4 separate regions of the Mus musculus genome follow, and regions 2, 3 and 4 are each reported to be linked to region 1. The links are microRNA targets in miRTarBase. Many come from high-throughput screens and were not tested one by one. Region 1 holds a microRNA gene; each other region holds the end of a gene's coding sequence.
Evidence for each region. The annotated mature microRNA mmu-miR-34b-5p reads AGGCAGUGUAAUUAGCUGAUUGU and lies in region 1 at 3,563-3,585, opposite strand. An mRNA with a match to its seed (bases 2 to 7 or 8) in the 3' UTR can be bound and repressed. Matches are read on the target gene's strand: a 7mer-m8 pairs with bases 2 to 8, a 7mer-A1 pairs with bases 2 to 7 and ends in A, and an 8mer does both.

Region 2: miRTarBase lists Pkia as a target of mmu-miR-34b-5p. Seed matches in the 3' UTR shown: 7mer-m8 at 6,283-6,289 and 7mer-m8 at 6,061-6,067.
Region 3: the mRNA of Rictor is a reported target of mmu-miR-34b-5p. The part of its 3' UTR that is shown has no 7-base or 8-base seed match.
Region 4: the mRNA of Commd10 is a reported target of mmu-miR-34b-5p. The part of its 3' UTR that is shown has no 7-base or 8-base seed match.

The regions. Positions count from the first base shown.
Region 1 is chr9:51,100,048-51,107,171 of GRCm38, forward strand. It overlaps Mir34b (microRNA 34b), which reads right to left and starts at 3,598; the gene lies at 3,515-3,598. It overlaps Hoatz (HOATZ cilia and flagella associated protein), which reads right to left and starts at 2,031. Exons shown (of 6, transcript NM_177702.4): 1 at 1,698-2,031; 2 at 1,007-1,045; 3 at 1-23. The coding sequence starts at 1,923. Mir34c (microRNA 34c) reads right to left here and starts at 3,063; the gene lies at 2,987-3,063. It also overlaps a transcript of Btg4 not described here.
Region 2 is chr3:7,441,543-7,448,666 of GRCm38, reverse strand. Pkia (protein kinase inhibitor, alpha) reads right to left here. Exons shown (of 3, transcript NM_008862.3): 3 at 3,301-6,656. The coding sequence ends at 6,577. Among named protein-coding and RNA genes, the nearest start is that of Zc2hc1a, 58 kb to the left of the region's middle.
Region 3 is chr15:6,795,441-6,802,564 of GRCm38, reverse strand. It overlaps Rictor (RPTOR independent companion of MTOR, complex 2), which reads right to left. Exons shown (of 38, transcript NM_030168.3): 37 at 6,531-6,669; 38 at 2,164-6,403. The coding sequence ends at 6,329. Among named protein-coding and RNA genes, the nearest start is that of Osmr, 75 kb to the left of the region's middle.
Region 4 is chr18:47,086,122-47,093,240 of GRCm38, forward strand. It overlaps Commd10 (COMM domain containing 10), which reads left to right. Exons shown (of 7, transcript NM_178377.4): 6 at 131-190; 7 at 907-1,874. The coding sequence ends at 945. Among named protein-coding and RNA genes, the nearest start is that of Commd10, 130 kb to the left of the region's middle.

The sequences.
Region 1 (7,124 bases):
TTTAGCAAAGATAATTGCATCCTCTAGAGAAAATAAAACCAAATTTAATCTGACACAACTTTGTCATAATTCTTACAGTTTTGACATGAAATTGGATATGGGAGAATAGAGTAGGAAGGGACACAAATACATACTGTCTTGACATTATAATGATTGGTAAATAACTGAAGACTGCATTAATTATTCATGATGTCAGGAACCCTCCCATACCTTTACATGATGAGTAAATCATAAGTGGAGATAAGAAACAGCCTCTAAAGAGAAAGTGCCTGTGGGACCAGGAATGCTGGGGAGAAAGTGCCTGTGGGGTCAGGGATGCTGGAGAGAAAGTGCCTGTGGGACCTGGGATGCTGGAGAAAAAGTGCCTGTGGGTTCAGGGATGCTGGAGAGAAAGTGCCTGTGGGGTCAGGGATGCTGGGGAGAAAGTGCCTGTGGGACCAGGGATGCTGGAGAGAAAGTGCCTGTGGGATCAGGGATGCTGGAGAGAAAGTGCCTGTGGGACCAGGGATGCTGGAGAAAAAGTGCCTGTGGGATCAGGGATGCTGGGGAGAAAGTGCCTGTGGGGTCAGGGATGCTGGAGAGAAAGTGCCTGTGGGGTCAGGGATGCTGGGGAGAAAGTGTCTGTGGGACCAGGGATGCTGGGGAGAAAGTCCCTGAGGGGTCAGGGATGCTGGAGAGAAAGTGCCTGTGGGACCAGGGATGCTGGGGAGAAAGTGCCTGTGGGACCAGGGATGCTGGAGAGAAAGTGCCTGTGGGGTCAGGGATGCTGGGGAGAAAGTGCCTGTGGGACCAGGGATGCTGGAGAGAAAGTGCCTGTGGGGTCAGGGATGCTGGGGAGAAAGTGCCTGTAGAGTCAGAAAGTTATCTTCTGGGTGAGTATGTGAGCCCTGAAGCAAGGTGTGGGATATGCAGCTTAGTTATATCACAGTGTAAATGTATACTTCTAGGAATTCTAAGATAATCTGGGGAGTCTACATATAAAAAGGCATTAAAACTTGATACTTACTGTCCTGATCAAAGGGAAAGGGCTGGACAGAACTTTTCTCTAAGAAATACAAATGAAGAGAAAGTTATTGGAAAAGCTGACATGAACAGTATTTTAATTTCATATACCTATTAATATTGAATAAGAACACTTTATACATCCTTGGCCCGAAGGCTTGTCAGTCAGGAAACAGGGTTCCTAAATTAGACTCTGCCAACAACTTTTTCTTGGGCTTTTAAATTTGAATTCAATTTTATGTAAATGCTTTCCTAATCTAAGCACCATTTCCTTAGATTAACCCATCCTCTTTGCCAAATAAAAGCCATCATTTAAGGGACTCTTAGAATTTTTTTTTTTTTTTAAGATTTTCATTTTATTTATGTGAGTACACTGTAGCTGTCTTCAGACACACCAGAAGAGGGCATCAGGTCCCATTACAGACGGTTGTGAGCCACCATGTGGTTGCTGGGAATTGAACTCAGGACCTCTGGAAAGCAGTCAGTGCTCTTAACTGCTGAGCCATTTCTCCAGCTCTAGAATGAATTTATATGTAACAATGAGATCCTTTACAGTGGAGAATTGCAGCAGTTTTAGAATTGTTTGTGTATTTGCATATACCTATTACTGCCTGTTTCTGCTTGTTTGTACTTCTCAATTGACTGACAATTAGACCAGGCAGTTTCCCCTTCCAGGAGGTAGCCTTGCTACTCACCTCTCAGAACGACTTTAGAGTTCCGCGCCACCGGTAGCCTCTGACTGCTGCCTCGGGTCAGCACGAGCTGAGATTCGGTAGTGGGGTACATGGACGCCCCGAGCCAAAACTGCTTAGCCAAATTGGCATCCTGCTCAGAGCAGCCGGTGAACACCAGTAATCCAGGGGAGCAGATTTCCTGGGATTCCTTCCTGCCGCTAGGACAGCCTCTGGGCCCCGTTTCCATGGTGACTCAGGACGCTTTCCTTAGCTCTGGCGTCCCGCCCCTACCGGAGAACCGTCCTGTTGGTAACTGCCACCACCGGAATGCCTGTGTTTCTTCTTCCGTAGATCTGGGGTTCCTCGAGGGCTTGTGGCCCATCAGCAGCTGGCTTCTGTCGAGGTCACAATTTTCGGGGCCAGTCAAGCCTTAAGAGTAAAAGCCTCAACTTTGTGATGTGTACAGTCCTGGACTGTCTCTTAGATCCTCAGCCAGCGTCTCCTCCTCCCCCAGATAGCCCAATAATGTGAGCTTTAAAGAGCGCCTTCCTCTTTTGGACAAGATTGCCAAGGCTTCGCACTCTTACCTCTGGGGAAATTCTCAGGTTTGCATTGATACATCTGCATAAAGCGCTAATCTAGAACTGGGCCGAGAAGTACCGGTGGATACAGCTTGTGTGATTTAAAACCTCTCAAATCTTTTATTACAGATATTAGGAAACCAGCTGGTTTTAAATCGTGTTCACTAATTATTCCCACGAAAAGTTGCCTAGAACGCAACTGTTAATACCTTAAAAAATATACCTGGTTAAGTGGGCTGAGTTCCCTTGCCCCATGGAAAATTATGAAAACATTTAACGTTCCCTTCCAGGTCACAATCATGTGTGAGACGTTTCCCTGGAGATTTTGTCTGTATAGCAACTAACCATTTAATGACTTTACGGGGTTGACAGGAGCTGAAATGGAGATCCTAAAGCCAGTTTTTGGAAAGGAAATGAACACGATTGCTGAGATTTTCGTGGCGCTTTATTTTTTAGAGTGTTATTAATATGTCAGGCAAAGTCCAAAGATTTATAATCACAAGTCAATATAATGACCAAATCAGCTAAGGGATAATTTCTATTTTTCCAATATATCTAAAAATCACAAAAAATGTACCCCACACAAATTGATACATTGTATACTTAGCAGCTAAGGGCTAGCGGTTCCCCCCCCCCCCCCAAACCACTAATAGTATGGTAAGAATATTTCCCTATGGCTCTGTCCTCACCAAAATGACGATTCACAGGAGGCTCAGTCGGAGGAATTTCAGTCTTTTTACCTGGCTGTGTGGTTAGTGATTGGTACTATTAGCAATCAGCTAACTACACTGCCTAGTAACTAGACTCAGAAAAAAGCATGCAGTCTTTAGCTGGTGCTCTCAGACTTTGGTGTGACCAGAGCAAATCGTCAGCCAAGCTGTGGTTGACTCTAGTCGCTGCCTTGGTGATAGCTTTCTCAGAAGTGGAAATCAGGCAGTGAATCACAGCAGCAGCAGGAACTGTTCTGGGGGGGGGGGGGGGGGGGCTCTTCCTGGCCTTTTTTTTTTTTTTTTTTTTTATGTTAAGGCCGGTGTATACCGATTCTCTTTACACATCACTGAACCGTTTTTGCTCTGGCTCTTACACACAGGTAGCCGAACGGTCCCTAAAGGAGGCCGCCGGTCTCCGAGGGTTACTTGCACTTAGACCTCGTGCTCCCGGCCCTTTGCTGACGCATCCTGGCTCCGGCCTCGGCTTTCTGCGGAGTCAGTGGGGCTGCAGCGCTGGCTTCTCCTCCCGCGGGCGGCGGGTGATGCTGTGCCTTGTTTTGATGGCAGTGGAGTTAGTGATTGTCAGCACCGCACTACAATCAGCTAATTACACTGCCTACAAACCGAGCACCGGGCGCCCGCCACTGCAGCTCCCGAGGGTCGGGCCCCTCGCCCCCTTTCGCCACGGTCGACAGGCGAGGGCGGCGGAGCGAGAGGTGCCTCAGGCTCCCGAGGCCCCTCCACACCCAGCAGGGCCGCGCGCGACCCCAGGTGAACCCCCAGGCGCTGAGGCCCCCTGTCCCCGCCGTCCCCCCCGAGACCCCCGACTCAGCCCGGACCCCAGGGCATCCGGCCCGAGTCCTTCTTCCCGCAAGCCGGGTCTGACCCGCCTCCAACAACTTCTTCACGGCTTCCAGACCCAAGTCTAGAGCCGGTTCTGTCCAGCCCGCGCGCCCCGCAGCTCCTACTGGCCGAGTGACCGTGGCTCAGCGACCAACCGCCCTTGGAACCCCGAGGCCGAGGGGGCGGGGCGAGTGGGGGAGGGGTGGCAGAAGCTACCAGAAGGGGCAATGGGAGGGCTCCTGCAGAGCCTCCTGGGAAGGGGCCGGGGAGATGGAGAGACAGATTCTTGAGAAGTTTATCTTCACAGTGTAGTTACTGCTACATCGAAGAAAGAAGCGCAGAGACCTACATCCATCTCTCCTTCCCAATATATTGCCCAAGAAGCCCCAGGCCTCCTCACTGTTCATATGCCCATTCTCAGAAACCGCTTCCCAGGCGTCTCATCTGGAGCCTTCCTGCCTGAGCAGGCCTGGGCACTCATACCTGCAGGATTGCCCTTGCCTGTACCCAAGTTCTTTCTTAGGACTACCTCTTACAGGGCCATACAGTGAAGTGTGGGCCACTCTTCTGGTCAAACATTGAACCAACACCCTTGTTGGTAGGTCAAAGTTGTGGCCCTTATAAGATCAAAGACACAGTTTTGATGATCTCCCCGTGAGCCTTGAGGATATCTAGTCTCACTTTGGGCTCCTGTTTTATTTAAATGTTACAAATCCAGCACCTAACAGGCGTTTGTCTTACTACCCATCAGACAGTCTAGGTGGTAACAAAATGTGAACACATTATTTATTACTCCAGACAGTATAAAGTTGCTAAACTGATAGATTTTCCTAATAGAAAAAAACAGGTATGGGTGGGGGTGGGAGGTGTGCCAACAAGAGCTGACAGACACCATCATGGAGGAGGTGAGAGTTCAGGTAGATCCTTGAAGCAAGGGTAGATTTGGACATTAAGGATGAGGTCTGTAGAAGCCCGAGAAGCCATATCTTCTGTCAGTTACATTCCCCTTGTTTTTGCTATTTTATATCTGATAACGGGGTGCGTGTTTGTGTATATTGGGAATAGGAGGCGCTGAGGGGACAGCATTTCTGCGCCATCTTCACTAATATTTCTTTCCTTTAGTCTTTCCTCTCCTTTCCTTTAATTAATTGAGCCCAGAGAGGATATACAGTATTCTCTGATTGCAAACTTTGTGGAATTCAGTAGGAAGTAGCCGTCCCAGACTGTGGTCTTCCTGTATGCTGTATGACACCCATTTGTATTGATCCAACAGTCTTGCAGTCTACAAAGGGACATTTCTTAGCTATACACTGATACCTGTAAGCCCAGCAAATGGTCTTGTAGATGCCACTAATTACATGAATATATGCCAATCATCAGGAACATTCAACACAAATTCCAAGTGGAAACCATTAAAACCCAAGAACTTCCCAAGAATAAACTTGTGTATATTTTAACATTATCTTTGAAAGTAAAAGACAATGTTTTTTTCCTTCAGAGTCATTGTTTTATGAAGGCTTAAGTGAAAGGAAAATGAAGTAGAAAATGCCAGATTATTATAAAATTAACTTATGAAAGACATTTGTAAATAACTATCTTGTATTCAGTCTTCTTGTATTTGAGAAAAGTATAATGTATCCTACAAAAGGTCATTTAAACGTTCAAATATAAATAAAAGTAGTAGAAATAGCCTCCATCCCATAAACACTATGAAGAGTTACAAGTTTTAGGAGGACATCATTAAAAAATCATTTATTTTGCATTTTGCTCAATTTCACTCCATGTGTCATGCTTCCACCCAGCTTAGGGATTTTCTCTATTAGTAGCATCTTAAATATCTTACCTGAGTTTTATTGCTTCCATCCAAAGCTATCATTGCATAAACTGTCTTGAAATTTAGACTAAATTTTTTTCTTCAATGATAAAAAGTAAAATGATGAAAAAAAAATGCGTGTGCCCTAGTTCTGTTAGAAAGCAACAATAGAAAAGAATGTCTGTTCTTAGGGTTGCTGTTGATCCTGCCCACAGTTACTAGAGAAACTCCAAGGATCTTATTGCATCTGCTGGTCATGCCTAGGCATGTCTAGAGACCAGGGAGACTCATGTTTTAATCTAAGTAAGAATGCCTGTGGTGTGGTTAAAATGCCCAAGCAGACCATTACATTTGGTTAGATAGATCCAGGAAGGCACCTTGAGGAGGAGCTGTTTACTGCTTTAATTTCTGGGTTTTTGTTGATCTGGGAGATGGGGTAGGACCTTTGAGGAGATGGGTTGATAGTATTGACCGGAAGGAAACCATGAAAAGTATCAAAAACAAGAACTTCCTGCGTGAATCTGACAAATTTATCTTGACTTAATTTATGACTCCTGTAAAAGGGCCATCGAGAGATGACTTCCTCCTGTCAGTACACACAGCACATCGTCTGTACACGTCCTCTTTGTTTTTAGATAGGGACTCAATTAGCTCAGGCTGGCCTTGAGCTCTTGTTCTTCTTGATACAACCTCCCAGTTGCAGGCTATTTCTGCAGCATTTGAAGGTTCTTGTTAGGGAGGAAAGAATGAAGGACACTAATTAGAAAGCAATGATCTTTAGCCACTTCTTTTAAAACATTTCAAAAATGCATACTTTCCTAGGAAATAAAACCATGCATTTTTTTATGCAGACTATCAAATGTCAGATGACCATATTAATATTCACGATAGTATGCTTAGGAACTAGTTTATAAGTTGAAGCAAGGCTGAGTTGAAGTCAATTTAGCCCTTGAATAATTACAAATCAATGAATCTGTTTAATCATAGTGGGTTGTCATCTGAGCTAGAATGAACTGCCAGCAGCTCTATACCTCTGGTTTCAACTCAATGAACTCTCATTAGGAAAAGTTCTCAATTAGCTTCTTGTTTCCATTTCTCAATTAACCAATAGTTTTGCTTTCAGTATCAAATGTTAATTTACTTTTTTAGGAACAATCTAACAAAAATAGCTTCCTAGTTAAGGTTGATGGAGCTCTTACTCCAGAAACAATTCTTGTCTATTTCTCATCTCTAGGGAACAACAGTCTCCAGAGATGTGGTTTAATTGGAGGGATAGACAGTTTGTTTGTATAGATAATTAATATAGTTAAATTATGTTAATCATATTAATGCATCATAATATTAATATATAAATTATTATATTAATGCATAAAATGTTTAGATAATATATTTATATCACATAAAATATATTGAATGTCTAAGTACTTAGATTACTAAGTGCTTAAGAAATCTTGAATTCGAGTGCTGTTATTGTTAACATTTGGGGAAAACATAATTAAAA
Region 2 (7,124 bases), not on the chromosome of region 1:
GGTCAGTCTTCAAATGAGACCCCTAACAGAAAAAGCAGGGTCTCTGACTCTGTTGCCTACCTTTAGATCAATTGTCATAACTAGGCTGCCTTGTCTAGCCTCAGAAGGAGAAGATGCCCTTTGTCCTACTACAACTGTCTGTTAAGGTTGTTTGATACCCATGACAGGCCTTCCCTCTTCTAAGGAGAAAGGAGGGGGGGGCTTGGTGGGGGGTGAGAGACAAAGACTGAGAAGAGAGGAGTGAGTAGAAGCTGCGATTATCTTTCTTCTCCCTCCCTAGTGGGATAGAAGCATCCTCACTTGGGCCTTTGGCTTGATAACCTTCTTAAATTCTGTGGATTGTGTCCTGGGTATTCCGTACTCTTTTGGCTAATATCCACTTATTAGTAAGTACATACCATGCATGTCCTTTTGGGTCTGAGTTACCTCACTTAGGATGATATTTTCTAGTTCCATCCATTTGCCTGCAAAACTCAGGATGTCCTCATTCTCAATAGCAGAGTGGTATTCCATTGTGTAAATGAATCACATTTTCTGTATTCATTCTTCCATTGTTGGGCATCTGGGTTGTTTCCAGCTTCTGGCTATCAAAAATAAGGCTGCTATAGTGGAGCACATGTCCTTGTGGTATGGTGTGGCATCTTTTGGGTATATGCCCAAGCTGCAATCAGGATATAAAGTAAGCAAATACCTCAATGAAAGAAAGGAAGAAAGGAAGGAAGGAAGGAAGGAAGGAGAGAGAGAGAGAGAGAAAGAGAGAGAGAGAGAGAGAGAGAGAGAGAGAGAGAGAGAGAGAGAAAGAAAAAAAGGAAGGGAAGGAAAGGAAGGAAGGAAGGGAGGGAGGAAGGGAGGGAGGAAGAGAGGGAGGGGAGGAGGGAGGGAGGAAGGGAGGGAGGAAGAGAGGGAGGGGAGGAGGGAGGGAGGAAGGAAGGAAGAAAAGCTCAGCTGGTGCTCTATTTCCTTCTAACATTTCTTTGGCTTTTTCAACTGTGAATTCTTTTCTTCAGAATAAGTCTTAAGATAACTTCTGTCTAACATTTAGTATACCTGAACAAAATTTAACACCCACAAGTAGACTTCTTTCTTGGCTGCTGAAGGCTTGGTTTGGGCTTTTCTGTGGCCCAGAGTTGCTCTGTTGGTATGTGGTCTGACTTCTGTGTTTTCTCCTCTGACACGTCTCCTAGAGAGTTCATATCAGACACGTCTCAATCTGCCATGTTTAACTGCTTTTGGTCTTCTAGGCTTTCCTACTAGGGTCTTATGTTCTACTTTTCCACTTGGCCCAGTTCCTCTTCCCATACTTAACAAGTATCCATTGTGATGTACCTCCACTTTCCTACCAGTGAACATTACTGTAGATCTTTTGTACTAACTTTCTTCAATGAAATCTTCATCTCAAGAAACAATTCTAGCATATAGACCTTGCTTTGCTTTCTTTTCAGTAAAATTTCTCCTCAAAAATCTACTTTGAACGTTCCGCATTTCTCATTCTCTCTCTGTTTGCATGACTGCTCTCTCTCTCTCGTTTTTGTTTTTGTTTTTGGAGACAGGGTTTCTCTGTATAGCCCTGGCTGTCCTGGAACTCACTCTGTAGACCAGTCTGGCCTCGAACTCAGAAATCTGCCTGCCTTTGCCTCCCAAGTGCTGGGATTAAAGGCGTGCGCCTCCACTGCCTGGCACACATTTCTCTCTTATTGCTATTAGTACAATAGCCACCCACTTATAAATTAATGTGATGCACTTTTATTCTCATTTGGTGTAACTGAATTTATTTTAATGAACCTTAGGTTTCCACAGTGTATTGACTGTGTTTGTGTATATATGAATATATTTTACACACATATTATGTATAATTATACTATATTATATATATATATGTATGTATATATATATATATATATATATATATATATAATAAGAACATCTAAAACCCAGGGATTATTGAGAATTATAACTAATGTTTACCTGTTATATTTAGTAATATTAAAAATGTTTAGCTCAGAATATAGTCTCTTTGCCTCCTTTTCTAGTCTTTACAAAAAAAAATCTACTTACTAAAGTCTTTGTCACCTCATTTAGAAACCCACTCAGTGAGTGTGTAATCCCCTTTATTTATTAGCTCTCAATAATATGTGTTGACTAAAATACTGTAGTAAGGACATACTGCTGCCAACTTCAAGATGTACTTCATAACTGATGAAGAACAATTATAGCACTGACGTTTCAAACACAAGAGTTGCTTTTCCTCCTATTATTCTGATCTACCCATTAATTCTCTCAAATTATGCATTTAAAATAGAAATTAGATGCATACAGAAGTAAATTCCAAAAAGAAGAAAAAAAGCAGAATTGGAGAAAAAAAAACTTTCTAAGTAGAGATAGAGAAGGGGTGTGGGAATGTTGGTAACTCCAGTGGAAAAAATGATAATCCTTATGTCTTCCAATTTATGTAATTTCAGTGTCCATAGTTATGCCTATCCACTGTATAATTTCAATTTCTGTTGTCTACTGAATTTTGAGGATTTTTCTTCTTCTAATTGTACCTGTTAGGGAGACTTATATCTCAATAACTGTTAAATTCTTATTCCTTATCCAGTTTGAAGTTACATTAGATTTTCACTAATATCTTAAATTAGAAAGTCATAAGACGTATCCAGGGAGAGTGTTTCACATGTATGTTTCGGTTTTGTGGCTTAAGTAAGACAAATTTAAATATTTACAAGGTTCTTTGGCCTATGGATTTCGGATCCTGAAAGATGGATGGCTAATTTCACTTGACTCCCACATTGGTTTTTTTCTTGGCCTTTTCTACCTGCCTGTGATAAAGAGTATTCTCAATCTCTCTCTCTCTCTCTCTCTCTCTCTCTCTCTCTCTCTCTCTCTCTCTCTCTCTCCCTCCCTCTCCTCCTCTCCCTCCATCTCCCCCTCCCCCCTCCTCCCTCTCTCTCCCTCTCCCCCCTCCCCCCCTCTCTCGGTGTATGCTACTGAAGAATGTTTTAAAAACCTTAGTGTGTTTGAATACTTTCTCTCTTAACCAAATCAGAAGCATAGGTTGAAGTTGACATTACAGCTCTGAGTGTGCATGGTTATGGCAGAAGGCTACAGTGAGGTGCTGGACACCTAGAGTCAAATGGATCAGAAGCATCTAGGGTAGAGGGCAGGAAAGTAAAGCCAGAGACTTGGGGATACGCACCCTGAGATAGCTCAGACTTTGAGTTTGCCTTTCACATCCTGTTTTACAATCCTTTCTTCAGCATCAATATATAGTATGCAGTAAATAATGACTCTTGAGAGACTGCATTTCAGAAAACAAGTGCTGCTTTTAATATCAGTTATGTGAGCATGCAACATTGCTAAATACAAAAGTCATAGAAGCTCACAGATGACTTCCCAGGCTGCCACAAGTCAGTGAAAGAACATTTCCAGGCTTCTAAGACACAATCAATTATGGATCCTTTCTTCGTTTAATTTAATGACTATACATTTTTTTCCCTTACTACTGCAGAATTCATTTAGAAGTTTGCTGCCCAACAGTTACATTTTTTTCGTATTCCTCTGAGAAGAGATAAAAATGTCATTTTATTCTACATTGGATCCTTGATGTCACATTTAAGGAAGACTCAGTGGTAGGGTGTGAACAGTGGGCTACTATGTCAGTATTTCCTGAAAAATAAAGGTCATGATTTTCTGTTATAGAGCAGAAAGCATTTCTGTGAATTCAGGATGAATATGTACTAACATAAAATGTTCTTAGTTTAAAAAAGTTAAGCTCAACAAATTCTACAGCTTCTCATTCATTGTTAATGTGTTAAAATGGAAAATTTTGTGTTTCTAGGTTATTAAATAAAAAGCAAGAATATTTGTTCACATACATAGCATGAACATAGCATGTAAATTTACAGTTTACATGTCTTAAATAAATTCAAAATAAGCTATAATTGAGTATTAAAACAACAACAACAACAAAAAAAGGTAGGCTCAACCACATGTGTCTTTGTCCCAAAGACATGTGTACAAACCCAAGAAAGGCTAGTCTATTTAGTAACTTAAATTCTTTCTCTGTAAAATGCAAGCTGACTGAGTGTATTATCTATAGTTTTCCATACAGAGAAACACACTGTGTAATTAGCTTAAATTTTATGAAATGTGGATTCAAAATTCTGTTGATAAACATGGGCTCAAATTAGCTTTTTAGTTTTGCAAAAATTAGTCCTTATTCATGTTCACATTGTAATTTGTGAAAGGGGCATAAGATGAAACTGAATGGTACATTTGGTTCTGAAGTGACTTAGCTGGGGTAGTTAACTAACACCCCTTTCCTTGGGCTGCCCACACTTCCATCTGCATTTACAGATTCATTCCCTATGTAGTATTATTTACTTGCAAATGATAAGTATTAAATGAAAACCAGGAGATTCTATGCACTTTTGCCAATTAAAATTTATGTGATGTGACAAATTCAGAATGTTTATCTCTTTTCCCTTACCAGCCACAGAATCCCTCTAGGATTGAATACAGGACACCAAGTAGCAGTAAGAAATCAAATGAAATCAGAACCTCCCTATGACTTCTGCATTTAGCACTACTTATATATTTAAAGACAAGCATGGCACCGCATGCATTAGTAATAGTATATGACACAGGGGTATAACCCTTCCACACAGTCTTAGCACTGGTTCAACACTTTACAAAATGCATGTGAAACCAGTGTGGAATTACACAACTTTAAGAATGATCTTCCTATTCACAAGAAAGCTATCAGCATAGTTAAACAAGGACATTGAAACTGTTGGATGTTGTAAATAGATTATCGGAGATTGTCTCAAATAGGCCATAGGTTCACAACTTTGAGTCTATCAATAGGTAGATTTGTTTCAATTTTAGCTAGCCTCCAATGACTTAGATCAAAGCAAGGCCTCTCATATTGAATGTATTTACTGTTCTATATCCAGAAAGGCATACTTAACAGTGCTTGTTTTTCTGGAAAACATCCAGTTGGGGACTAAATGAGATTCATATATTCCCAGTCAGTAATGAAAGCACTCTATGGGAAGATATAGGCAGACTTCCTTGTCTACCTTGTCTGTAACTACAGACTCAGGTCGAGTTCCTACCGTACCCAGGTCTGCCTGTTGAAACACCTCTACCTACTTAACCTGGAACTGTAGCTATGCTAGTGCTCCAGGACACTTAGAGGCTCTTCTGTTGAGAAAGTCTTCTTTCATCTGTTATTTGCCTCCTATGATGCACCAGGTGAACCTTGGGCATCTAACTGGATCCTCATTTATTACCAAAGATAGTTGGTTTCATAATACTGACCAGAGAGGGTTATACAGGCCACAGAAACTCCCCATACAAGAATTGTGATGTCAAAACACAGCGTAGACCATCAACAGCATCAGTAAAAGTGTAGTTGGGTGATAATTTTTATATCTGAATGCAATTCACACAAATTATTAGTAAAATTTTACAAACATTAAAAAGTGCATAACAACATTTGGGTATGAAAGGGCTGAGAGGGGCCACAGCACAAGGGCTTTACTTTTGAGATGGGTGCCCACAGGCTTTGAGGAAAACACTTCCTTCACAAGTTGTCCTCCTGCGTTAAACAGTGGCACCCAGCAGTGTGAGAAAAGTGATCCTCACAGCACAACATTTCTAGCTCTTTGCATTATCTGGCATTCTTTGTTTATTTTGTTGATTCTTAAAAAAATTCTTATAATGAAAAATTAAAGTATCAGTTGAAAGTACTTATTTGGAAATAAAATCAATATTGAAAGACAGAACGCTGGTCTGTGTAGATACTAAGACTGAACTCAGGCAATATTCACATTCATGGATATTTCCACATGCCTGTATAATAAAGCAAAGTGGGCTCAGTGAGTCTAGTGGATGTAACCCTCGGCAGTTATCAAGAGGAAAGTTGTGTTTTACAAAAGAAGGTTCTGCCCTGTTCACGCCACAACACTATGGGAAATTAAAAAGGCAGCCCTTTAAAAAATGAGCGGTATAAAAATTCACAGTCATGTACATCATTTTGTTTTATGTAAGCAATCAAAGGGCAGTGCAGAGCAGGTGTACTGTACGATACAAAACGGCGTAAGTAACAGCACTCACACACAGGGACATAATGCTAACTGTGCTCTCTGGATGGTTCTTTTTGTGAGTCAATACTCCAGCCAGAGATACTGAAACTCTGGGGTTCAACCAACTCTTTTCAATTAGACACAATTAAATCCTCTGACATCATGAGGGGCCAGATGCCACAGGAATCATCAGCTAGGCAGTGCTACTCTCTACAAGCATTTCATTATACGGTCAAGTGGAAGGACCCATACACGAAGGAGATCCAAGCACAGCCCAGGTGATTTCAACCATTGCTAATGACAGAGGTGGGGAAAAGGCTGTGTGCAGACACAGGCTCCATCCCCACTTGTGACATGGCAACCAACAGTGTCTTGCTGTGCAGCGCAGCCATTTTCTTCCCCTCCGTTTCACCCGTGGCTGCGAATACATCCGAGCATCGCCAGGATATTTGCCACATTGTCAGATGTTGATGACCGTCAGAATGGAGTGTTAGCTTTCAGACTTGGCTGCTTCTCCCTGGGCTTCTCCACTTTGTTCGGTGGAGCTTCTCTGTCCATCATCTTCACCTTCTATAAGAGACAATGAGAAGTGAGAGCAAAGAAAAGCTCATGGTTCCTGTCTCTCAGAATGCTGGAGACTTCAAAGTCTGAAATGGTTATAGAGAAGTGGGTTTTCTTAGAAGTGTACAATAAACAAAACTGTATATGTGTTCAGAGCCCGGCACTTTATGAGACATCAGAATGAAAGTCAAAAATAAATGACCTGTGAAATGTCTAGAGTTGTTAATGGTGAACTACGCTTCTGGTGAAGGAAATCTCATGGCCACACTCATCACTCTTAAATGTGGTTTTACAATCTACAGAAACCGAGTTGGCATTGTGCCCCAACTCTAATGTGAAGAAACATTTAAAATTTCCTTTTTCCATTATTTATAGAACTTTAGGATAATACACCTGATTTCTAAAAATTCTATTAATTTATAATTGATATTAACAACAGAAGGTACATGGATTTTTTTTTTTTTTTGATATTTGGTC
Region 3 (7,124 bases), not on the chromosome of region 1:
ATCCACATCGCATGTGTGCATTACTCCCAATAGGTATATTAATAATTCTTTTATTAAAAGTACAGACCTAACAAATTACCTGAAGGGGAACTGGTTGCAGAAGCTGGAAAGGTTGCAGACGAGGCTGCAGATACAGATCCTGAACCTTATTAATGGGACCAGAGTGGAACCAGTTACCTCTTGGCTCACCTCTGTTTTTTCTTACTTTAAGGAATGGGTGGGAGTGATTTTGTTTGGTGCTGCCATATGCTGTGGACTGGTGTTCATGCTCTGGTTGGTATGCAAATTCAGAACCCAACAAAAAACGTGACAAGGTGATTATAACTCAGGCACTTTTAGCTATTGAAAACGGCTCCTCCCCTGAAATTTGGTTATCTATGCTCAAGAATTAGTTGGCATCTGAGTTCTCTGCTCTTGCACTCCACGGCACTGAGATGAGAGAGACTCAACGATCATTGATCAGCCCTTGCACATCACTGAGGTTTCCTCATTGCAAGCGATAGGGTGATCATGATTTCCCCACTAATTCATTTTTTGGCTGGCCTCTTTTGCAAAGTTCTCCCTAGGTCATTTAGCAGTTACTGTCACACAGCACTGTGGTATCCAGAGACAGGCAACTTTCCTCATGCACAGTCCAACCTAAGACACAGGGCCCGGTGGCGATAGGGTTACCCTATGACGGGTAAGGCTGTGAAACAGAGGAACGACCTAAAACAGGAGCCACGGCGGATGGACATAATTGCACAGGCCTAGTCCAGCCTCATTTTATTAAAACAAAAAGGGGGAGATGTGGGAAGCCACATGTGCCGTTGCAGAGTGGCACTGACTACTGCTGGCCACCATGCATAAGTTTGGACAACCAACCAATGTGTACATATGCAGTAAAGCTTTTTGCAAAGACACTGCCTGGCCTGGGCATGATAATGAGGCTTTGAGAGTATAACCAATCCGATGTGAGACATGCAAATGAGGTATGATAATGAGGCTCTGTGAGGTACAGAGAGAGTAGCCAATCAAATGAGGAACATGCAAATGAGGCTTAGTGCATAACCAATCCAGGTGTGAGACACGCCTCTCCTAGGCCTATATAGGCAGCACCAGTTCTGGGCTCGGGGTCTCTGCAATCAAGCTCTCCCAATAAATGTGTGCAGAAGGATCCTGTTGCAGCGTCGTTACTGCTGGCCAGTCTGGCGCGCGCAAGAAGCTGACAAACAAGATCGTGAGTTATCTCCAATTCCTGGCTCTAAGTGTATGAAGCTCACCTAGTGCTCCAGATGAGCACCAAGAAAACCACAGTGCTTTGAGATATTATTTCATGAAATATTCATTAAAATTTTAGTACAGTGGTTTGAGTATTTTTAACATTTTGTGTGTATGTCTGCCTCCACCTGTGCCTATGTATATGCCTGATGCCTAGACACCAGAAGAGGAAACTAGCATTACAGATGGCTATAAACCACCAGGTGGGTGCTGGCATTTGAACCCAGGTCCTCTGGAAGAAGAGCTAGTGCTCTTAACCACTGAGCTATGTCTCCTGCTATGTGAATACTTGCATCTGGAGACCCTTTAAAAATAAAACCTATCACTGTCCTATTCAAGTATGAAAATATTAGGCATACTCCTCACCTGGGTGTTAACGACATTTCTGGTAAACACAGTATAGCGTGTGAGCAAGATATGAACACAGTCCAAACCCCTGCAACCAGCTTGCTCAAGGTGGGAAAACAGACTTCAGCAACTGCCACAGCGAGTTTCTCAGCTGGCTCTTTTCTTGTGGTGCGCTAGTCTAGCCAAGGCGGCAGAAGGCTGGCCTATCTGCTCAGGCGAGTGTGTGTAGACTCCTGAGCATCAAACCACTTCCATGGTGGTCGTTGTCTTAACACTACCTCAGCAAGCCCAGAGCTCTTCTACTTAAAGACGTTTCTAGGTCCAAATCCTTCACCGTAATGATTTGAAATTGAAGAGTAAGCATGGCACACTAAATTTGGGAGAATGCCAAGGAAGTACAAGTGGGACCTCTTTTCGTGGTACAAGACCATGCCCATTTATAGACTCAAAAACCCCCATTTACTAGAAACCACACCTGTCAACATCAGCACATGATTCATACCAAGGCCCAATGAGACACATTAAATTTTCAAATAATGTCAACACCACCACAAGTTTAAGAATTTTAAGTACATTTTATTAACAATGAATCCCTTTGATAAGATTATGCTTCAGGAGGCTTTAATGCCCTTAACATAAACTGTACACATTGTACAAAAACAATACAACCACAATAACAACAACAAAAAAATCAAAGTGAGCAAAACCATTTTGGGACAAATCTTATTTAAATTATACACAACTCAATGAAATATTCTTAAGGAAAATATATAAATACTTTTTCTTTCTATGTTACAGTTATACAATATAAATCAGATTTCAATGTCTGTTCAGTGACCTACAAACACCAGAACCTCCAAAAATGTAGCAGCGTATTACTAAAAAAAAAAAAAAAAAGGTCATGTGGTCAGAGAGCATTAAATCTGAGATCCTCTTTATAATCCCTTACCACTTTTCAAAGCTAATTTAATTTACATCATTTGTTTTACAATGCATCATTAGGGTTTTTGACAGGCTAGTAATGGAACATTTTTCAACAATCATACATTAAAAGATTTTACCACTCCCGCTCTGCCCCAAGACTTTGCATCTTGTGCTAGATCAACCTAGTTGGGGAAATTGTAAGATATGTTTCCTTTTTTTTTGGCATAAATTAATTTTTCATACTAAGTATTATAGAGTCAAAATGTGCAATCCATGCATCTGCGGCAGTTATCCACCTAACTATAAAAATACTCAAAGGGGCGGAATCCCACACTCTTGTGAGTTGTATAAATGTACTGTAATGAACCCCCGGGGACCTGAAATGACAACGGCTCTTGTAAAGACTAGTGCAGACTCCTGTGTCTTCCTCAGCAGTGACCTCAGGGTCACTGGCAGGCTGAGGTGAGACTCAGTGTAGAGACACTCTCCAAGCTAAGAGACGTTGGAACAACAGGCTTTGTCAGTATGGAGGAAATGGAGACCTTCCCAACTCACACTCGGGAAAATCTGAAATGTTTATTGCAAGCAGCTCTTCTTAGAAGTCTCCTAAACAATTTTACTTTTCTTTCATGAACTGTGAATTTGGGACAAAATGGAAGTACAAGAAGAGGGGGAAAAACTTTACTTCCAAACTATATTTCCAAAGAGGTCACATGTTCTTCTCACACAAAATTAGCACCTCTTATCACAGGAGAATAACCACAATTATAATTTGAATGACAATTTTGTTTATTGCTTAATGGTCTGTGCTTTGAGTGGGGCACCAGGGGCATCAGCTGAAGGGGCTGAGAGTGCATGGAAACAGCAGTGGGCAGTTTACACACACACTAGCAGCCCCTACGCACATCTGGTCTCAGTGATGGAACCCAGCTTCAACTGTCTCAAGCTCTGGACAAGAGCCGAAAGCTCCTGAGGACACGGCTCCTGGTGACTTGGATACATCACCACAGCAACAGTGCACACACTTCCTAAGAGCCTTGCACTGCTGCTGTCTTGTGGGATGTCTCTACACTTACTCTTTATTAGAAACACTTAGGTCAGGGGACACTGTCTTCCTCCATTATACTCTAAGCAGAAACAGAAAAGCATAAGACATTTTAGAGCCTATTTTCTTATAAATACTAAATTTCTCACTTTTTTATTTGTCAGTACTTAGTATGTGAAGCTGAAATCTGTTCTTGAAAAAATTTCAATTAGAAATGACAATTTACAATTAGAAATTCACAGTTTACAACCAGCTTAACTGTTCAAACTCCTCCAAATTATTAAATAATTATCAATAGTACAAATTTATATGACTAAGATTAATTCTAAACTCTTGAAAAACTACGGTATTGACATTTTGGTAATATCTAATATTTATAGACAATTTTTCAATGATTGCTATTACCATTGACATCATTCATAACCTTTTCTGCTATAATTTAATAGTCTTAAACACCTATGCTAATCACTTGGCACTGCATGTCGTTTTCGTCATAAAAGTCTACTTTTATACATGTACTTAAAAAGAAATGTATTACACCTGTTGGTGAAACCATGGTTAAACCAAATAGCACTATAAATTTAAGCATAGACAATTTCCCCCAGTATACTGATCATCACAAAGCTCTGATATCTTCCCAAAGTAAGTGCTATAGGCAGATATGATCACACACACACACACACACACACACACACACACACCTTTCAAAGTAACAGTCAAAGTGAAAACACAATCCTTGGCTTAGGACACTAGGGCACAGCCTCAGGTTCATGATGGCTGACTTGGGCGCGAGAATGGGCATAGTTTTGTGTGAAGAAAAACAAACAAGAATAGTTATCATTAACTCTCAAGGGACGAAACCACAGATTTTCTACTCTGTTAACTGAGGTAGTGTTTAAAATGAATGTCTAAAATGTTAATCCCATTTATGAATAAGACTACATTACTTCCTTTGGAATTGTAACCATTATTTGGTCTAGTATCTCTGACATTTGGTTCTCTGGAAAGGCAGTTTTATTGTCCAAGACCAAAGACCAAGGTGATAGGCATGCTCTTTCAAGCACTGCTGACATTTAATGAACACGGGTTCAGTGATGAAGTTGAAAAGAAAGTTTTACCCTCACTGAATTTTCTGGGAAAATGCGAACTGTGCTGTAATGTGAGCAGCAGCTTAGAGCCCTTGTCTGCTTTGTTATCATGGAAGTTGCTATACAGTGCACAGAAGAACAACTCGCTCAAGTGCAGTCAAAGAGGAGTCAGGAGGGACAGGAAATGCTTCGTCTCAGTGCCAACTTTCAGTGCCAGCAAGTTCAAAGACAAATTTCTGTGAGTTATGTTTTCTAGTTCACAGGGTACTTTACAGCAGTCTTGCAAACAAGACCATTATGAGAAGGGTGTACGACATGGGAAAATATGGACCAATGTCTATGACATGTTAAAGCTGATGTGCAATTGTAAAATGGGTTACACAAAGGAATTGCAAAGGTCCTAGTCAGTCCTAGTCAGCTGGATGGTTTGTTCCAAGATAACCCTTTCACGCGTAAGCAGTCTAGTAATGATGTTCATGCTACTTTATGTACAAATTTGCATATATGTTTAATTCCTGTGAAGATTTCCAAGTCTCTTTATACATAAACAAATTAGACAGACAAAGTCTCGCCTTCATCAACTTCACAAATGTGATAAAGGCAATGACTATACTTTTAACTCACCTATAACTGCAATTTATGCAAAACAGGAACACTAACAAAAATTAAATTATCGCTGCTTTAAAATTTAGTAATTAAGGCTTTTCACCACAATTCTGAATCTTAATAACGAGTCTCAATGACGTTTTAATAGGACATATGGCTCTTCCTTTTTCCCATGGAATGTGTAAACTGCAGGCAAAGCTGTCTTTTCCTTGAGAGACTGCAGCCTCACTTCATGCTTCCTTTGCTTTGTCCAGACTGCTCATCTGGCTCAGTCCCTTGTAAGTGGTGAGAGGAGTGGAGGAGGTTGGGTACAATGTGCTCTGAACACGAGAAGTATTTACTCCTTACTACATCACAACCATAGTGAAAAACCTTAATTAGTAGAAATAGCCTTTAACAACGTATTGCAACAACCTGAAGCGACAGAGGACAAGTAAGCATCCTTATGCATCTAGCATCGTAAACTAACTTCCAAGTTCCGAGTGCTGAGGTGTTCCTTCTGCTGTGAAGTTATAAACCTCTGAAGTAGTGTTACAGACATTAAGAAGTGTGGAAAGGCGAGTGTGTTCCTCTGATACCAGCAGTTACAGCCCACGGGGTAACAGGATGCAGTCTCGGAGTCAGTGACTCCTGCTTTCCACAAATTAGTTAACAAACAAGGCATCTTTTGTATTTACCCTTGATTAAAAAGCATTCAGAAAACAACGGTGTGAAGGATGCGTCTTCATGTCCTGTTTTGTTCCACTGCCATTGCGCTTTGAAAATAAAAAAATAGAAAACCTATGTAGATATTCAGTGCTTGGCTCTTGCATATGATGGTAACTGAATTAAAACCATGGTAATGAACCACGAACCCCGAGAAGGGCCCAACGCGGGAGAGAAGTTGGCTTGGCTAGGAATGCCAGCAGTCCCAGCTGTTCTGTACCAATAACTGCTGGCCAGTGTCAGAAGGCTCTCCTGCCTCACTGTCAGCCAGTCAGTATCCTGTGGGGCTTTCAGGAAGTCCACAGTAGGAATACATATAGAGTATCCAGCTATAAACGTCATAAGCATGAGGTCAGGATTCAGCAGACTCATCAACTATAGGCTGAATTGGTGGAATTGCCAACACAGCCTCTGCTTCTTCATGCATCTAGGAAGAAGTAATAAACTGTTAATTTTTTAAAAAATAAAATTGGTATGTAATATAGACATAAACTTTCAACTTCAAATACAGAATAATTCTGGGAGACAAATTTCAGAACTACAGTCTTCCTTACTTGTAAAAACTGTACATCCTGAAATAACTCTTGTATGAACCGCCGACACTGAAGTCTAAATGTGCAGTGTGACAACAGATGAGAAACTTCAGAATAAAGGCATATGTCATCAAATGTTTGAGGATACTTCTCTTTAATGCTAAAATTAAAAGAGAGAACACGCCGTGATAAAATAGCACACGATATATTCACTCCACCCCAGCAAATGACACTGCTGCTAAGTTTCCCTCACCCCGGATACTGACTAGATGGAGTGTTAGCAACAGTGCCTTACTAGTATAAGGCAGTCAGTCAGTCAGCCAGCCAGTCAGTCTGTCTGTCTGTCTTTTCCTCCAGCCTTGACCAATGCCCCCATGCCTCACGCACTCCAGGCCCTCCTGCCTCCATCTTCCAGTGCCAGGATGACATGTGGATGCCACCATAGCTGGCTTACTGGGAAGCATTTCTAGTTTACACTTTAGACAGTTCAAGTGTCTGATTTTGAAAGAGTATCAAGATCTGAGTGCTTATTGTAAAGTTATTTTCCAGTAACACCAGGAAATTATGAATTGTATTTATTAGACTAGCACGACTACATAACATGCTCACACTGTA
Region 4 (7,119 bases), not on the chromosome of region 1:
AGATGGAATGTTACCCAGTGATTTTGTGAGTTCTAAGAATCCCATATCCCCAGACGACCTGGAGAGTGGGAAGTGCAGGGTGCACTGCGTTCGTACAGCCGAATGAATGTCTTCCCTTGTTTCTTTACAGAACGTGGAGAAAGTTCTCGTGGAATTCAATCACAAGGAGCTGTTCGATTTCTACAACAAGGTCTGTGTTTATCAACGTTTTCTAGGATGCAGAAATTGTGTGATGCTTCCTTGCTTTAATGAATTTTTATTTTTGAATGCCTTACTATAGGCAAATGATAGGGCCAAATTCTTCAAACTCCTATAAACAACTTATATTTCACAGTAGGAAGAGGCAAAACCAAGATGAAGAGACTCTGAAAACTAAATCAGAAGGAAAACAATAACTAAGAGAGAGATAGGATTAGTGTTTTGTATAGAACTAAGCGGGCACTGTGTGCTCCCCACAGCCACTGGCCAATTACATGTAGACCACCTGGCATACAAAAATGGCTGAGCCCAAGGATAAAAGGAAGCTGACAGATTTTAGAGATTTATCTTTGAGCGTGTTTCATTTTTCTTTCCAATGCATCTTACTAACTACCAAACGTTAAAGTCTTACCGTGTAGTGACAATTTACTAAAATAGCTAAGTGCACTTAAGACAGTAATACTTCTTCCTTCGTGAATGTAAAAACATTAAACGACTAAAACATTAAATGCCTAAATCCTAAGGTCTTTACACATCCAGAAAAGCAGCTTGACTGTTACTGTTGTGCCGTGTTATGCTGAGCGTGGTTCACTGCACAGAGTTCCTGCTGCCTCCGTTTCCCTTTGGTTTGCATGTTTCTAAGCATTTTGTATGCGGTTTATTCCCCTCACTCACTCACTGCTGTCTTTATTTTGTCTCTGTAAATAGCTGGAGACCATACAAGCGCAGCTGGACTCCCTCACATGATGTTCTGGAAGACTGGCTTCCTTCGCCATCACATTCCGGCCACCTCACTCTTTCGCACTGAAGAGAGACTGCCCAAGTATATTTTCTAGAGGATTCGGTGACACTATTGCTACAGATAATATGACTTATTGCATCTTAGACAAATAGCAGTGATGGGAGATCACAATAGGAGCACTGGGTTTCGAGTGTGCCTTCTCGCCTCACAGGAGCCAAGAGCAATTGTTGAGAAAAACGAAAGAAGTAAGAAGTGAATGCCATGCTGTTTTTTCTTTTTTTCTCTCTCTTTAACAATTATTTTATTAGATATTTTCTTCATTTACATTTCAATGCTATTCCAAAAGTCTCCTATACCCTAACCCCACCCTGCTCCCCAACCCTCCCACTCCTGCTTCTTGGCTCTGACGTTCCCCTGTACTGGGGCATAGAAAGTTTGCAAGACCAAAGGGCCTCTGTTTTTTCTGTCAGATTGCTTTCAGGGATCAGGGAAGGTCTGTAGGCAGAAGGTATGATGGTGCCCTAGCAGAGTATGAAACCTTACTCATTACAGTAATTAATTAGGGAAGCAGCCGCAGGCCGTCAAATGTTTTGGCATTTGTCCTGCAGTGTTCTTTTGCTTGAAGTATAGTGCAAGAAAGAAATCTAAAATGGTACCAGTACTGCTGTGAGTTCATCCCACTGCGCTCCCCTTGACTCCCCCTGAAGGTTCCTGACGTTAATGACTTCAAAATCATCTAGGTTTACATATATCTCTGCAGATTACTAACAGTGCACTTCTCAGTGTTTCAGATTGCAAATGAAAATTGACCTGTAATGAGTATGACATGGGAATCTTACATTTTCACTCGAAAACTTTATGCATCCTCCTTTTATGGATATATGTGTTCACTGGTTTCAGTCAATAAAAATTTTCTACCTGAGAATTATTTAAACTCAAGCGTACAATGTTTTTATTTTATAAGGTACTTTAAGCTGTGACTCTACATAAATACATGGTTTCCTGAGAGGGAAAACTCACTTGAAACTTGTGTTAATGAAATGTCTTCCCTTGTTTCCAGGCTCAGACATAGGCTGCTTCATATGAAGGAATGTGGTTTCAGAACGTCCTGCAGTTAAGCAAACAGAGCAGTTACAGTTGAGCACATTTCTCATGAGAGGGTCCTGGGTACTACAGTGCTCACTCACCCCCAATCAGAGCTCACTATGCACCACAGTACCTGTACTGTTAATGAAGAATGTTGTTGCATAGAATTGAAAGTTGGGGTTATTGCAGAAGGCAAGTGATACAGGTATTGTCCATAATTGCTTGATTCTAAGGGTTTCTAAGGCCCCAGCTGCCGTTGTAGTATAGCTCAGTGTGGCTTATAATATAACCTGATACATTTCTTTCTGTGGCTGAAAAGATCACTCTTATTTTCTTTTTCCTTAACAACGCCTTAGTTAGGGTTTCTATTGCTGCAACAAAAGACCATGACCAGAAACAACTTGGAAAGAACTGAGTTTATCTCCGCTTGGAGCTCTGAAGTCCCACTCAATCACTGTGGGAAATCAGGGCAAGTACTCGGGACAGGAACTGAAGCACAGGCCATTAAGGGATGCTGCTTACTGGGTAGCTCTTATAGCTTGCCCAGCCTCCTTTCTTATGCAACTCAGACTGCCTATCCAGGGCTGGCTCCAATCACAGTGAGCTGGGCCCTCCCACACTAATCACTAATAAGAAAATGCTCTACAATCTTGCCTATAGGCTAGCCTTATGGAGCTATTTTCTCAATTAAGGGTTCTTCTTTCAAAGTGCCTTTATCTTGACTGAGACAAATGATTTCACTACTGTCTTAGTTAGTGCTTCTATTGCTGTGATAAATCTACATGATCAGAAAGTAACTTGGGGAAGAAAGGGTTTATTTCAGCTTACATTTCCACATTGAAATATCACTGAAGGAGGGCAGGGCAGGAATCGATGCCATGGAAGATTGCTGCTTACGTTCTCCCGATGTCTGTCTCGGCCTGCTTTCTTCTACCAACCCAGGAACACCTGCCCTGGGGTGGCACTGCCCACCATGTCCTACAGACTTCCTACAGGCCAGTAAGCAGCATTCCACAGAGGTATTTGCTTGATTAAGATTCCTTTTTCTCTAGCTTGTGTCAAGTTAACACAGAAAGACTGTATTATATCACTGTTAGCGGGCTAAGTCGTGAAGGTTTCTTTAAGGGCATTCATTCTCCATGCACAGTGGTGGAATTGCCTGGTGATAAATTTCTCAGAGCATTTTCTCATCCCGAAGCACTTGATGGTTTACTAGAAAGAGAATTACTCATTAGAACGGGGAGTAAATACCTTCTGCAAAGATGATGTTGCTTCCGTGGTTATTTTAAATTAGGAAGTACATAAAAATCCAAATGAACCAGTGTGAACCTGTGGAGTCTCGTCATCCAGAAATGGCCATTAATAGCATTTTAGTGGGTTTTTCATTTCCTAAATTTCCTGGCCATACTTTTTTTCTTATTCATTTTCTTCTTTTCCTAGCAAGTTGAGGTTATGCTATAGTTTAATTTTTTATGTCGTATTATAACTTGGGCATTTTTCATATCCTTATTACCCAGAACATAATTTTAATCTATAGTGAATAAACCATCATTTGAGTAAGTTAAACCTCCTCCCTCTATTGTTAGGCATTTAGATGATTTCCACTTTTTAAAATGTTAATAATGAACCTGCTGTCATACAGTGCTAGACCAGATATCTCTGTGTTATTACCAGAGATTTGTGGAAGTGGAATTGCTACTGCAAAAGTGTGAAGATTTATTTTCTGTTTTTCTCTTTAATGCTAATTTTTATTATAATAGCAACAGTTTTCCATTAGGGGCAAAAATACCCAGCTGTTCTACTTTGCCATTTCAAACCCTAGAAGCGCCCTTTTTATGTTCTTATTTATTATTTTGAGGATTTCATACAATCTTTTTTGGTCATGTTCTTCCCCCAACTCCTCTGCGATTTGGTCTCCCACCCACTCTGTCAACTTCATGTTCTTTCTCTCTTAAAAAACACATTCGGGCTGGGCAGTGGTGGCACACACCTTTAATCGCAGCACTCGGGAGGCAGAGGCAGGTGGATTTCTGAGTTCGAGGCCAGCCTGGTCTACAAAGTGAGTTCCAGGACAGTCAGGGCTACACAGAGAAACCCTGTCTCAAAACAAAACAAAACAAAACAAAACAAAACAAAACACAACCAACCAAATAAAAAAAAAACCAAAAACATTCAAAAAAGGCACAACAAACTTGGAGTTGGACTTGCATCCACTTCCCCTTGTCCACCTTCGGGTTTTGGCTGGCTTGACCTCTGCAGATCCCATACATGTGGTCAAAGTTGCCATGAGTTCATATGTGCATCAGTCCTGTTGTATCTGGGAACCAGCCCTGGCTCTCATGGTCTTTCCACCTCCTCTTTCACACAGATCCCTGAGCCTTGAGTGGAGTTTGATAAACTCAGTCCTTTAGGACTGAGAGCTGTGAAGTCTCTCCCTCTCTGCACACTGTCCATCTGTGGGTCTGTCTGTTCCTTCTGGTCTACTGCAAAGAGAAGCTCTTCTGATGAGGGCTGAGTGCCTCACTGATCTACAGATAGACAGAAATGTCATCAGGACTCATTTTATTGCAATGTTCCTGTAGCAGGATAATAGTAGGGTTAGAAGTGCTTATTTGGTTGTGATAAATGGTTTGGTTTCTATATTTTCAGACAAGTGAATACATATACAAATGCCTTAAATGTGTTTATATTTATTTCGAGGCCTCTGATGGATATTGCTACATTGTTTCCCCAAACAGTTATTTCAATGTTTCTGCTCCTTCCACCAATGCCTAAGAATTCACTCCCCAAGCCTTTCTCTCAGCCCTTCCCTCCCACCCTTAACATTTGCCTTCACTGGGAGTTACATAGTTTGTATCCTTCCACAGACTGAAAAAGGAAGCACTGTTTTCTACTAGAAATATATTGTGTTAGTAGTTCCAAGACCGAAGAAGAAATGTTTTTTTTAAAGATAGTCAGATGTGTACAGAGCAGTAAGTATAAGGGCCTTGAAGGTCAGATATTTATTTTCTTAATAAATATTCACCAAATAACATGTTGCCAAGAATTCTGCATACCTAGCCACTATGTGACCACGATGAGCAAAACAAACATAGTCCCTACTCACTTGAAATACAATGCATGGGTCAAGAAAGTGGACAATCGTGCAGTAAATTGGCAGAGGTGAGGTAGGTATAATTGGATTTTATTAAGAAAAACTCCAATGTGGAACCAAACCTAAGGATCATGGGTTTCTGGAAGGATTCTCTGGGGAGTGAGACTTGGATAAGATACAATGACAGAATGGAATTATAGGGAAAAAAAAAAAATTCAGACAAACAGTCTGCTCCGTGCAGCAAACACCCCAGAGGTTAGAAAAGACTTACTAGTGTATTTAAGAACCAACAAATCTATATGGCTAGAGTGTGCTGGACAGACTAGCACAGCTGCTACAGCTAGTGAGCTAGACAGGCGTCAGTCCCTCACCAAGGGCCGTTGTTTTTTATGACCTAATATATTATAAATGTATTTCTAGGTCTCTCCCATGTCCAAGCCACCAGCGTCTTTGCCTTCACACGACCCTGCATCCAGTCCAACTCTCCTTCAGCCCGGGCTTCATTCCGGGCCAATTAAACACTAATTCTACTAATTATTCCGTTTCCCTGCCTTCAAAGGGTCCCATTATCCACCAAATAGCACGTAATGGACTTGGCCCCTCAGCCAGTGCCCGAGTCATACCCTAGTTCATGTTTGCTGTGCATATATTAAACAAATTGCAATTTGCTAATGATCATTTCTCTTGGCCTTAATACAAATCATAATTCCTTAATAGGAATAATAATCTAAATAATGACAAGGTTTTGAGGATTAAGTGAGATAATTTGTGTTAAACATTTGTCAAACTCTGATTCCCGTGATCACATGCAAGTGTTAGTGGTATTTTTTACAGCCCCTGAGAAAATAGGCCTTCTACTAAAAGGGCTCCAGGTGAGCTTGAATTAATGTCAAAATTACCAACAGCCTTATGAAAGACTTTCTCTTTGAATTTGAGTTCTAACAGCAACTCCTTCTTTTCTACTGTAATGCTAATCTATCACTTCTTAAGTTTCTTTTAACTAACTATTGCGGTCCCTGATAGCACTAGAATAAGAAACATAGTTTTGTTTGTTTGTTTGTTTTTGTGAATACCTTTCCACATGGTCCTTTTGGCTTTAAGAAATCTTTTCCTCAGGCTGGGGAGATGCCTCTGTGGGGAGATGTGCTTGCTGCTCAGACCTGCTAATCTGAGTTCAAGTCTCCAGAATGTGCATAAAAGCAAGACAAACAATGTGAGCACCTGTGATCCCAGTGTGCCTGTGAGAGAGATGGGAAACGGAAACTGGTGCATCCTGGAAACTCACAGCCCGGCCTGTTTAATGTGGGCAGTGGGAAACAACAGAGAGACTGCTGCAAACCAGAGGGAAGGCAGGGACCAGCGCCTGAGGTTTTCCTCTGCCCATGCAGGCCACTGTTGCACATCCACAGCTGTACATACACACAGGGTACATGATACTTTTATTTCATTTTGCCTTAAATGATATCTACGCTATTTATTATATCAGGGGCCAGTGCAGTGTGGCTCTGCTCATCATGTCTTTCTTAATAGAACACCATTGGAATATGGATTCTTGCTCACACCAGACTCACCAGCCAGAACGATGCTACAACAGGATCCTTCTGCACACGTTTATTGGGAGAGCTTGATTGCAGAGGCGAAGAGACCCCAAGCCCAGAACTGGTGCTGCTTATATAGGCCTAGGAGAGGTGTGTCTCACACCCAGATTGGTTATGCATGGATTATGCTTACCACCTCATTTGCATGCCTACATCTGATTGGTTAACTTGTCTCTCATCTGATTGGTTAACTTGTCTCTCATCTGATTGGTTAATTCTCAAAACCTCGTCTTGGCAAAAAACTTTACTGCCTATGTATGCATGGTGGCCAGCAGTAGCCAGCCCCACCCTGCAACGGCACATGTGGCTTCCCACAATGGATCTCTAGCTGCCCAACTCACTCTAGAGACAACTGAACCTGTTAGGAAAGAGCATGGGTTAGGGGCATATGGTAAGGGACT